Oryctolagus cuniculus: one gene and its partners. The main gene of each other region encodes a partner of the protein of the gene in region 3 in a complex. Links are inferred from orthologs where the notes say so. Each region holds a gene or a part of one and is shown on either strand. Other genes may lie near its edges.

What was found.
Region 1: the proteins of WNK4 (region 3) and KLHL3 are in contact, whole or in part, in a crystal structure (PDB 4CH9), measured with the Homo sapiens proteins. The link is inferred for Oryctolagus cuniculus from reciprocal best matches to the Homo sapiens genes WNK4 and KLHL3. Residues at the interface, in NP_115763.2 of Homo sapiens: Glu557, Pro558, Glu559, Glu560, Pro561, Glu562, Ala563, Asp564, Gln565; in NP_059111.2 of Homo sapiens: Arg339, Phe355, Gly357, Ser358, Leu359, Arg360, Thr386, Phe402, Gly404, Gly407, Ser432, Tyr449, Gly451, Ser481, His498, Arg528, Tyr577.
Region 2: the proteins of WNK4 (region 3) and KLHL2 are in contact, whole or in part, in a crystal structure (PDB 4CHB), measured with the Homo sapiens proteins. The link is inferred for Oryctolagus cuniculus from reciprocal best matches to the Homo sapiens genes WNK4 and KLHL2. Residues at the interface, in NP_115763.2 of Homo sapiens: Glu557, Pro558, Glu559, Glu560, Pro561, Glu562, Ala563, Asp564, Gln565; in NP_009177.3 of Homo sapiens: Arg345, Phe361, Gly363, Ser364, Leu365, Arg366, Thr392, Phe408, Gly410, Ser411, Thr412, Gly413, Ser438, Ser439, Tyr455, Ser487, His504, Arg534, Tyr583.

Annotation. Positions count from the first base shown.
Region 1 is NC_091437.1:25,467,065-25,470,706, forward strand, and holds part of KLHL3 (kelch-like protein 3), read right to left. Parts: intron 1,866-3,642; coding exon 1,748-1,865; intron 1,340-1,747; coding exon 1,142-1,339; intron 1-1,141. UniProt on the Homo sapiens protein: Substrate-specific adapter of a BCR (BTB-CUL3-RBX1) E3 ubiquitin ligase complex that acts as a regulator of ion transport in the distal nephron.
Region 2 is NC_091439.1:131,632,326-131,636,465, forward strand, and holds the start of KLHL2 (kelch-like protein 2), read right to left. Parts: upstream 2,806-4,140; 5' UTR 2,605-2,805; coding exon 2,579-2,604; intron 1-2,578. UniProt on the Homo sapiens protein: Substrate-specific adapter of a BCR (BTB-CUL3-RBX1) E3 ubiquitin ligase complex that mediates the ubiquitination of target proteins, such as NPTXR, WNK1, WNK3 and WNK4, leading most often to their proteasomal degradation.
Region 3 is NC_091448.1:20,122,717-20,126,358, reverse strand, and holds part of WNK4 (serine/threonine-protein kinase WNK4), read left to right. Parts: intron 1-225; coding exon 226-490; intron 491-677; coding exon 678-799; intron 800-1,017; coding exon 1,018-1,076; intron 1,077-1,174; coding exon 1,175-1,292; intron 1,293-1,526; coding exon 1,527-1,643; intron 1,644-3,642. UniProt on the Homo sapiens protein: Serine/threonine-protein kinase component of the WNK4-SPAK/OSR1 kinase cascade, which acts as a key regulator of ion transport in the distal nephron and blood pressure.

The DNA of each region.
Region 1 (3,642 bases), on a different chromosome or scaffold from region 3:
GTCAAAAAAAAAAAAAAAAAAAAGAAACATACCAGGGGATTCCAATTCAATCCCATCAAGGTGGCATGTATCAATGCCATCTCACTAGTCCAAGTGATCAATTTCAGTTCACAATTGATCATAATGAAAGGACTAAGAGTCAAAGGGATCACATAAACAAGTCTAGTACCTGCTAATACTAACCGATAGAATAAATAAAGGGGAGAGCCATCCAACATGGGAAGCGAGATACACAGCAGACTCATAGAATGGCGGATGTCCTAAACAGCACTCTGGCCTCAGAATCAGCCCTAAAGGCATTCGGATCCGGCTGAAAAGCCCATGAGAGTAGTTCAGGCATGGAAAGCCAAGACACTCTGGCAAAAAAACAAAAACAAAAACAAAAACAAAACAAAAAAAAACACCCTAAATGAAAGATCTCTGTGAGTGAGATCCCAGTGGAAAGAACAGGTCTTCGAAGAAGGAGGTACCTTTCTCTGAAGGGAGGAGAGAACCGAGAGAACCTCCACTTTGACTATGACCTTGTCTAAACAAGATAAGAGTCGGAGAACTCAGAGGGCTTCCATAGCCTTGGAAACTCATGACTGGAGCATAGGGAGATTACTGATGCCATAAACAGGAGTGTCAATTTGTAAAGTCAACAACAGGAGTCACGGTGCACTTACTCCTCATGTAGGATCTCTGTCCTTAATGTGCTGTACATTGAGATTTAATGCTATAACGAGTACTCAAACAGTATTTTTCACTTTGTGTTTTTATGTGGGTGCAAACTGTTGAAATCTTTACTTAATGTATACTAAACTGATCTTTGGTATATATAGAAAATTGAAAATGAATCTTGATATGAATGGAAGGGGATAGACAGTGGGAAAGGGGAGGGTTGCAGGTGGGAGGGAAGTCATCGGGGAGGGGGGAGCCAATGTAGTCCATAAGCTGTACTTTGGAAATCTATATTCATTAAATAAAAGTTAAAAAAAAAAAAAAAAGAAAGAAATCAGTGTGTGGGCCTGGTTCTGGCCCCAAAAGAAGCTGGGCCGGTAGCTATAGACACGCACGGTTGCCCAAGAACTGAGGAACAAAACAGGGTTATGAGAAGGGTGTGTCCCAGGCTGGGAGGGGTGGGGACATGCCCTGGACTTACCAGTGCTGCCATCAAAGCCTCCCACGGCGTAGAGCAGGTCGTTGAGCACCGCTGCACCCAGTGTGCTCCGGCGTTCCTGCATGCTGGCAATGGACGTCCACTGGTCCTTCACGCCGTCATACACGTCCACCGTCCGTACCCGCAGCGAGCCGTTAAACCCGCCCACAGCATACACATGGCCAGCCATGAACACCACACCTGAGGCACAGGAAACTAAGGTATCAAGGTCAGGTCGAGACAGCTGGCCACTTAGGTCGATGGGTGACAGCAGGAGGAGCAAGGCGGGCACAGGAATAACTCACAGAGATAACCTCCAACTTCAGGTTTCTAGAAATCAAGATGGGACTCACTGGGTTGCTTTTTCCATTCGCTTTTGTACTTTTGTTTGATTCAAGCAAATATTTGAATTAGCTTACACCCCCAAGCGCGTAAGAGCTGATCTTAGAAAGGGCCACCCAACACAGTGCAGGTGGGGAAGGCAAGGGAAGGGTGCCTGAATCCCACAGAGGATCGAGGACCCCAGGGCCCCACAGGACTTCCCGGACTGGGTGGAGACCGGCCAGGAAAAGCAGCCTGCAGAACTGAACTGACGGCAGTGCGGCTCACCTGCTCTGCATCTCCGGGACGGAAGTTCAGCAATCTGATCCCACCGGTCCTCCTCGAAATCATAGCACTCCACACTACGGATTGCCTTGGGCGCCTGGCCACCAACCACAATCATGACCTCCAGAGAGACAAGTGGACGTTAGCTGCGTCTCCTCACATCTAGATTAGTGGGTAACCAACTCCCAGTACCTCCCACGCCCCCTTCCCAGGGCGTGTGGGTGATCTGCGAGGCTGGACCACAGAGCTACAGACATGGAGATGCCGCCCCTATCACCCACACGTGTGTGTATGCAAGAGCACTCTAACACGCATCTCCCCACGGGTACACGACCAGAAGGGCTGTGCTTCCTAAATGCCCCTCTCAGAGCGATGTTGGGGGTGGCGAAGCCCCTGGAGGCATCTTCTGTGGCCTCAGTAGCCTCAAAGACTGGGGAGGGGACTAAATTGTATCAAAACAAATGACTATATCTTAGAAAAAACATTCAATTCGGATGCATTTTTAGGATCAAATTATTAACCAAAAATATTTCTGAATGCTTACACTGCAGAAGGCACACGTTCACTGCATTATGGGAAAAAAAAATGTGGTGAAACACTGCTTTGTGGTGGGTACCATGAAATTTGTTTAACTGATGATGCTCTGAAAGATACCGCTAACAAATTCCCACAAATAAGGAACCACAAGGAGAGGGCTATCATTCACTCGTCGCCACAACTCTGTAGAGATGACCATCCCCACTGGCAGCTGAGGAGAGCTCACAGAACACCACAAAAGCCCTGGGTCACACAGCTGAGAGTACAGAACAGAGACTGAGACGCGAGTGCCCCTGATGCAAGGATGAGGCCAGTGCCACCCCAGCCGCTCCAGAGACAGGGTCTGTGCTGACAGCTTGCTGCACCTGTGTTTGCGTCAAAATGCAGGTCCCATTCTGGTAGTGGGTCATGAAATCCATGTAATGGGTTGCAACCAGCATACTTTTAATAGAACAGCACAGGAATGATCATGGAAGGATGTTATTTCATGAAATATCTCATCTGGTATTCCACACCTGTACCTTCCGGATAATAGTTCAAACATTTGTTACTGCAGAGTGTGGCCAAAGAAATAAAAGCCGCTGCTCTAGCTAGAGTAACGCATCTGCAATACTCAAGTGTGGTATCCTTGCTGTTGTGACTTTTGTCGTACGTCATTAATAAATAAAAATTATAGTGCCAATGCTAACTACAGTGTATACAGCTTTCTAAATTGATGCAGAGTTGCAGCTGTCCCCATAATGGTGTTACTCTCACTCACTGGCTTTCTTGAGCCGAGAGACGGGGGTGGACGCCATTGGCAGGTAATACCACCACAGGACTTGATCTTTACCTGTAGCTCCCATTATTTACCCGGTGAATCTGCAATTCAGCATGCATCGGAATCCCCTGAAAGCTTTGTAAAAACACAACGTGCTGGGCTCTGCCCCAGAGTTTCCGACTCAGCGAGTCAGGAGCAAAGCTGAGAATCTGCATTTTTCACAAATTCCCAGCTGAGGCTGCTGCTCTGCTCTAGGATTCACCGCTCTTCTAACCCAGGGTCTACTGAGCGCCATCAGCCGTGAGTACCATCAGCCGTGAGTGCCATCAGCCGTGAGTGCCATTAGCAGTTTGTGCCGTTATGAATGATGGTGCTTATTACTTCCCCACCTGTGTTTTGGGGAGAGGAGCACGATCTTCAACACCAGAGTGAGCCAGCAGTAGTTCACTCACCCCCCAGTGAACATCACCTACCAGATGGGGAGCAAAACCAGAGCTGTTGTCAGACCACTGCTCAAGGTCAAGCCCTGATGCCTGGGTTCCAGACTCAAGCTCACCACCGCCCTCGTGAGGCCATCAGCTTTAGTTCACAGCTGTCTGTG
Region 2 (4,140 bases), on a different chromosome or scaffold from region 3:
TCCCGTGGGAGACTCAGACTGAATTCTGTACTCCTGGCTTCAGTGTGGCCCAGCCCCAGCTGCTGTGAGCATTTGGGGAATAAACCAACAGATGGAAGATCTCTCTCCATATTTCCATGTCTCCACGACTCTCCTCTTCAAGTAAAGACACCCCTCTTCAAGTAAAATTAAACCAGTGGATGGAAGATCTCTCAGGTGTGAGGACAATGTAAACTCGACTAGTTATTCACAGAGAAGTACCAAGCAAGTGCTCCAGCCCAGCGCCAGGCAGAGACAGCCATTCAACAGCTGCCGACCGAATGAATTCATCGACAGACATTCACACACACACGACCAGTCCTTGCTTTCAACCACACCACCCAAGACACTCTTAAGTCCAGGTCAAACATCTTGTTTTGCATTAAAGCTCCGACTAGACACCTATCCTTGTGAAAATCCGAGTTTTTCCCAATAACTTACACTGGCCTCAGTCTTGTTCCAATCACAACAGTGAAGCCCCTTCCCAAAGATGCTGCCTGTATTTCTCAAAGCCAGCACCCTCAACCAGGCAGGCAGGAAGTTCAAGGGCGTGGAGGCAACTACGTCAACAGGTGAAGGGGAAGTGGGGGGGCCTTCTGATCTATGGAAAGGTAAATAACACTACAACAAACTCTGGAATTAAGGCTACAATCAAATAAAACCTATTTACATCTATCACTAAATGGATGTGCAGAATTATAAAACAAATCTCCCCAACTTCAGCCACTCGTGAGCGAAGGAAGCGTTAGCAATTCTCTCACCCATGCTGGCACCCCGGGTTTGTCACGGTATCTCAGCCTCTCATTGTTCCAGCAGTACTGACGGGGTCTCAGCACCCAAGAACTGGGCTGGACACCAAAATCAGGATGGGCTGATCTGCCCTAGCTTCAGTCTGATCAGTATTTGCATACACACATCTATTGCATTTGTTTCTTGCTTCAGGTTAAACCACTCGCTATGCCTTTCCTCCCTCGCGCCAGAGCCTGCTTTGTCCACACCCTTCTTCTCACCTGCATTCGAAGACTCCCCGTTCCTCCCTGTAGTTCCTTGCACTACAGAAGTAAAAAGGGACTGCAGACAACTGCCCCAAAGGGGGTGGCCGGTGTACTACAGATGAGGTGCCCACATGTTATCTATGCCATGCCGGGCGTTGTCTAGAAATACAGAGAACACATCCAGCCATGAGCACTCCCGAGCGTGTGCACAATGCTGATGCTAACGACCCACCATCACGGTCCCTCCGACCTGCTGAAGGGGAGGACCAGACCACAGAGCCCTCAAAGGCACCGCAGTCAAGGAGCGGCTGAACCTCCGCTGCTTCCATCAGCAGAGGAGGGTCAGTGCAAGAGTCTAAGCATGGCCTCTCCAGATCCCCATGACCTGTTCCACTCGAGCTAGAAATTCTGTAACGTACTTTCAGAAACTGCAGTTCCGAATCCCATTAGTTCTCCTAAAAGAAACGACATCAAAAAATCTTTTCAGCCCAAATCGGATTTTCCATATTTTGGCTGGAACTCGGCCAAATAACCACAAGAGGCTGGTGCGGTATACAACTGGCATGGAGTGAGACTGGCCAAATCTAACTGAAAAAAACGGTAAGGCTCCATGAAACAGCTCTCAGAGAAAGGGACACTGTTCCTTAGAATGAGACTGCCGGCGGTTTGAAAAGTCAAGATTCAAAGGGCTCTTGTTCCTTCACAAAGGTGAAACTCAGGATAGCACATCAAAATGGAATTGCTCAAAAACTCCTGGGGATTGACGGCCACACTTCTACCAAGATGCTAAAAAAATTAATTAATTTAAAAAACCCTTGTACTGAATAATGCAACAATACCTCCCACATAATTCTTCAGCTGCTATTATTTCTAGAAAGTAATTCTGTTTGCAGCTAGCTGATCCTAACCGTGCTCAGGTACCAAGGAAATAGACACCTGTGCCTGGCAGGTCGCTACGATACTCATCCGCCCAAGGTGCCCAGGAACCAGAAAATGCTCTGATTTCTGGATACAATCGTCTGCAGCGCCAGGTAAGAGGTCACATGCCCTAAACGGCCGCGGCTCGTCCAGCGAGTGACGGACAAGCTCCCGGGATATCAATGTTGTCAGAAATTCGGGGGAAGCAGGCAAGCAAGCAAGCAAGCGAGCTCGCACTGATTCACCGAGACACCGGGCATCTGGTACTTTCCAGCTTCCTCCTTCCTAGGGACTCCGCGCATCCCACAGCCATCGCTCCGAAGGACGCAGGCAGCCCGTGCGTTCCGGGGAGGCAGCCACAGGACAGACGGCGGCCCCCGCGCACCGGCCCATCCCGAATCTTCCATCCGCCGGGGATCGGGAAGACACCCCCACACCACCACCACCACCACCACCAGCACCTTCCCGGGGCTCCTGGGCAGGGCGCTAAGTCCCCGCCCGGCCAGCGCGAGTTTCCGCCCGCGTCCACCTCCAGGCTGCGGGCACCGCGCCTCGTCACGCCCCGCATCTCCCACCTCCCGCGGGGCCCCCGGCGGCTCCGCAGCGGCGCGCGTGGCCGCAGCGGCACAGCCCGCCCGCTCACTCACGCGGCAGGCAGCGGCGGCGTCTCCATGGTGGCTCCTCGCGGGCTTCAGCACGCAGGCACCGACCGCCGCCGCCAGCACCATTCCAGCCGCGGACGCCGGCACGGCCCGCCCGCCGGGCTGCGTTCCATGCGCCCCGGAGGGGGGCGCCGCGCTCGCCTCACCGCGCGCCACCACCTGCGGCGGCGGCCCCCGCGGCCATGGCCCGCTCGGCCGGGCGCGCTCCGTCTGCCTGCGCGGCTCCCGCGCTCGCCCGAGTGCGGGGCGGACGCGCGGGCTCGGCCACTTCCGGGTTCGGCCCCGGCCGGCGCCGACGCCGTGACGGGCCGGCGATGCGGCCTCCCGCGGCGGCCGCGGACCCTCCCTCGGCGCCGCCCCTTCCTCCTGCGGCGGCGGCGGCTGCTCGCGGGGGCGGGCGTGCCCGGCGCGGGCCTCGGGGCGCGGGGGCTTTCTGGAAGAAGCGCGGCGTGAACGCTCGGGGCTCCCCCTGCGCTGCTTGCCGGGCGCGTTCCCCGGGTCCTCTGATGGTTTGCGCCTGTGCGGGGATGGGGGGGACAAGGGAGAGGCAGGCGCCCCCAGCCTCTGCCTGTACACGTGGTGAAACTGAGGCAAGCAGCCTGTGCAGCGGCTGTCGCCCGAAGCTGGGGGGGGGGGGGTCTCTCCTCGGCTTGGGAGCCGCTCCCTGGACAAGCGAAGTGAGCACCTCGGTAGGCAAGATCTGGGGACAGGGAGACAGAAAAGAGCAGAACCGAGTCTGGGCTTGTGGAGCTGTCCGCGTAGACGGGGCAAGAGGACCTGGAAACAGGGAAGAAAAATAAGAGGGAGCGGTCAAGGGAGGCCCCTCCAAAGCTCGGAGACAGAACAACGCGAGCCTTGAGTAAGGCCGAGAAAGCCGAGGGCAGAGGGCAGGGCTGCCTTGTTGAGGAACTGTTTTAGGAAGCTTGGTGGGCCCGGCGTGCCCGCTGGCATGGCAGCACCTGGGCACTGGGTGGGGACGCGAAATCTCCGGGCCCAGCTCAGACTCGTCAGGAACTCTGGAGGCGGGGCCCTGCTGATGTGTGCAATACGCAGCCCTCCCGTTTGAGACCCTCTGTTGTGGCCCAAGCTGGCTTGAGGGCAGAAGCAGCTGGAAGGAGCGCTTGGGGAGGGCCAGGGCACTCAAACCCATAGAGGCATGCTAGGCTGCAGTCAGGGATGGGCCTCTTGTGAGATGAGAAGCAATTGGAAAACTGTGAGCAGCTAGCCCGGGTCGTGAAAACGATGACTTCGTGGTCAGAGCCTCAGCCTGCAACAGGGGCAGCCCATATGGACATGGGTATCGGTTAGAGACCCAGCCGCTCCACTTCCAATCCAGCTCCTTGATAATGTGGCTGGGAAAGCAGAGGGTGACCCAAAGTGGGAGATCCCAGGAGACGCTCCTGGCTCCTGGCTTTGATCTGGCCCAGCCCCAGCAGTTGTGGCCATTTGGGGAGTGAATTAGCAGAAGAAAGATTTCTGTGTGTTTTCCCTTTTTTCTCTGTACCTCTGCCTTTCAAATAAATATTTTTTTAAAAAGATGACTTGGG
Region 3 (3,642 bases):
GCTAAACGCCCCCTCGCCCCGTTAGAACCGCTGACTTCCTCTGCAACCATGAGCTAGTCACCTTTACTCATCTCCCCCACCCCAGGGTGATGGTAATGTTAGCAGCTGCCAGTTAGCAGACACAGTGGGTAATCAGTAAGTGGTTCCTTCCCTCCCATATCCTGGAGGCCTCCAGAAGCGGGAGCGGGGCGTCCTAACCTGTGTTCCTCACCCTCCCCGCTCCAGGTGGCGCTGGGCTTGGTCTGTGAGGCTGATTACCAACCAGTGGCCCGGGCTGTGCGTGAACGGGTTGCTGCCATCCAGCGAAAGCGTGAGAAGCTGCGCAAAGCTCGAGAGTTGCAGGCCCTCCCGCCCGAGCCCGGACCTCCGCCAGCAACGGTTCCCATGGCTCCTGGGGCTCCCAGCGCCTTCCCCCCTGAGCCCGAGGAGCCAGAGGCAGACCAGCACCAGCCCTTCCTCTTCCGCCACGCCAGCTACTCATCCACCACCTGTAAGTCCTGCCTGAGCTGGGGTCGTGGAACCCTGGGCCTTGGCCCTCCCCCACCCGGCAGTCCCACCCTGCAGCACTGTCCCTTACGTTCCTTCCGCCTCCAGCCCACGGCTGCCTCCCTGCTCGGTCAGCCCCTCCTTTCCCACCACTCCTTTTGATATTTTTTGACCCCTCCATCCCCCACCAGCGGATTGCGAGACTGATGGCTACCTCAGCTCCTCTGGCTTCCTGGATGCCTCAGATCCTGCCCTGCAGCCCCCTGGGGGGGTGCCCTCCAGCCCTGCTGAGACCCGGCTCTGCCTGCCCTCGGTGAGGGGGGGTCATGGGAGGGGCTCGCAGCCATCCCAAACCTAGGACCTATCCCTTCATTGTGAAACCCAGCCCTGTGTCCCTAGAAATCTACCACCCTAGTCCTCACCTGCTCCCATTCTGTCTCCCTAGTGTCTCCCCAAGCACCTTTGATACCACCTCCCTGGACCCCAACAGTTATCTGCCCTTGACCTTGTGAACCTTTTATCCTATTTCAGGCATTCGCTGTGTCCATCCCATGTTCTGGCCCTGGCAGTGACTTTTCACCTGGGGACAGGTATGTTCTGGTATGAGCTGGGTGCCAGGTGGAACATCCGGGGTTCTGAGGTCCCAGGGCCCACCTGATGCTCCTTCCATCTCCTGTCTCTCCCCCAGCTACGCATCAGATGCGGCATCAGGCCTGAGTGATGTGGGAGAAGGGACGGGACGGGTGAGAAGGCCTCCGGGGAGGAACCTCCGGCGCAGACCCCGATCCCGGCTGCGCGTCACCAGTGTAAGGAAGCGGCACGGGAGATGGAGAGTAACCCACGGGGCCGGGAGGGGCCGCCCAGCGGAGTGGAGATCAGCCAGAAAGGGGGCTGGCAGTGTGCCTGGCACCCACGGGGCAGCCATTCTACTACCATTTCTACTACCGGACTTGGAGGGTGGAGTGCCTGGAAGTGGCGCTGGGTTGGCGGAGGCAGGTGAGGGCGGAGGGCTTGACCGCCTCCCTCTGCTGACCCTGAAGGTCTCCGACCAGAATGACAGAGTGGTCGAGTGCCAGCTGCAGACCCACAACAGCAAGATGGTGACCTTCCGGTTTGATCTGGATGGGGACAGCCCGGAAGAGATCGCAGCTGCCATGGTGAGGGGGAGCAAGATGAGGACAGAGTGGACCTGGGGCAGGAGCTTCCTTCCTGTCCGCTGCCACCACCGCCTCGGATCCCACAGCAGGGTTTTGTCTTGCTTATTAATTAATTTTTTCTGTGAGGGCAACTAGCAAGTAGAATGGTGATTTCTTCAAAAAGAAAAATATTGGTTTATTTATTTGAAAGGTAGAATAAGAGAGAGAGAGAGAGATCTTCCATCTGCTGGTTCGCTGCCCAGGGCTGGGCCAGGCAGAAACCAGGAGCCAGGAACTCCGTTCTGGTCTCCCACATGAGTGGCAGGGGCCCAAGTAGGGCATTGTCAGCTGTCTTCCCCGGGTGCATTAATAGGAAGCTGGATGGGAAGTGGACTAGCCAGGACTTGAACCTGTACTCTGATATGAGAAACCGGCATCCCAAGCAGCAACTTAGCTACAATGCTGGCCCCGTGGCAGGGGTTCTTGAAGCACTGGCCGGCACTCCCAGCGGTGACCCCAGAGACCCCTCAATCTCCGTGTGGGAGATTTCTGAGGTTTGGCTCCTTGGAAGTTGCTGGAACAATTTGACACTAACATGGCACACAAGTGCTGCGCGTGGAAGTGGGTGCTAGGTGGGAGATACTGTGGCTCTGGGTCAAGGATGGGCCGTGGGCAGCCACGGGAAGAGGTGGGACTTAGCCAGGCTGGGCAGAAAGGGAAGGAAGACAGTGAAGGTAGAAAAGGCATGGCTGGCTGCAGGCACACTGTAGGCAGAGGCGTTCCAAGTCGTGAGTGACCTGGGGTACGGGGCTGGGAGGACCTCATGAGAACCCCACCATCAGAGGGGAGTAGGGATCCCAAGGAGAGCCACGGAAGGTGAGGGTGGGGCCGGCGGAGGGGCCCAGCTTATCCACGATCACGGGAGTTAAAGTGGGACACAGTGAGAGCAGGCTTTGTGACGACCATTTTGCCCTGGATGTGGGTAGGGGTTGGGGGCAGAGGACTCAACCGGGTACCAGACATAAGCAATCTGATATGGATGAAGGTGACGGTAGATGACGGGGCAGGGGAGGAGGAATGGCTCTGAGGGTTGTTTCAGGAAAGCCCATTGTTCTGTAACCCAGTAACCTGTTGAGGTGGTGCAGTGCGCCTAGTAGGTGCTCAATAAATATTTGCTGAGTTGATGTGATAGGGAGAGGGGGTGTCAAGGGCAGCTTGTCACTTGGAGGTGCTAAGGGGAGTAGGCTGCCCAAGGACAGGGGAAGTTGGAGATGAGGGGCTTCTTTAGGGTCTTGGCCAGCACAAGGTCCTCCAAGGTGCTGGGATGGGTGTAGGTCAGGCAGGGCTGGAGAGGTGGAAGCAGGAGTTGTCAGTACCGAGCTGAGAGTGAAGGGAGATGGCCTGAGGATGTCTCTCCGCAGATGCCGCCTGTTCTGAGTCGGGGCTGGGGAGGAAGGCCCTGGAAGGACCCAGGGATGGAGGAGAGAGGCAGCGGATGTTGGTGTGGGTAGAAACCGAATGAGAAGGGAGTTTCAAGGAGGTGGCATGGGAGGAAGCCCGAGGCAGGACCACAGCGGCACTGGTTTCGAGAAGGCTTTTGTGGGAGGCCAGCTTCCGCCGAGTGGGGGCGGTGGCTTCCAGCCCCAGGGGAGTGAAGGGGCGGGAACAGGAGAAATGTCAGGCTCCAGGAACGCTCCCTAAAGCATCCTCTCCGTGCTGCCTGGCACGCACGGCCTAGCACCGGCCCTCGAGTCACCGTCCTTGCAGGCTCCCCTCTGGCCTCACTGGCTTCTGAATGATCCTCGGAATCTTCTCGCCTCTGCCTCTGTCTGCTCAGGGGTCTCGCCCTGAGAACTGGTTCTGCTGGACCCCCAGACCACTCACTCCGACTCCATCCGGCCCAGGCAGCCTCCCCTCCAGCCCAGGGTCCATTCCTCTCTTTTCTCTTCCTGCCAGTCCGCCTTCCACTCCTTGACAGCAGAAGTCCCCTGAGACTTGGATCTGATCTTGCTGATTTTCA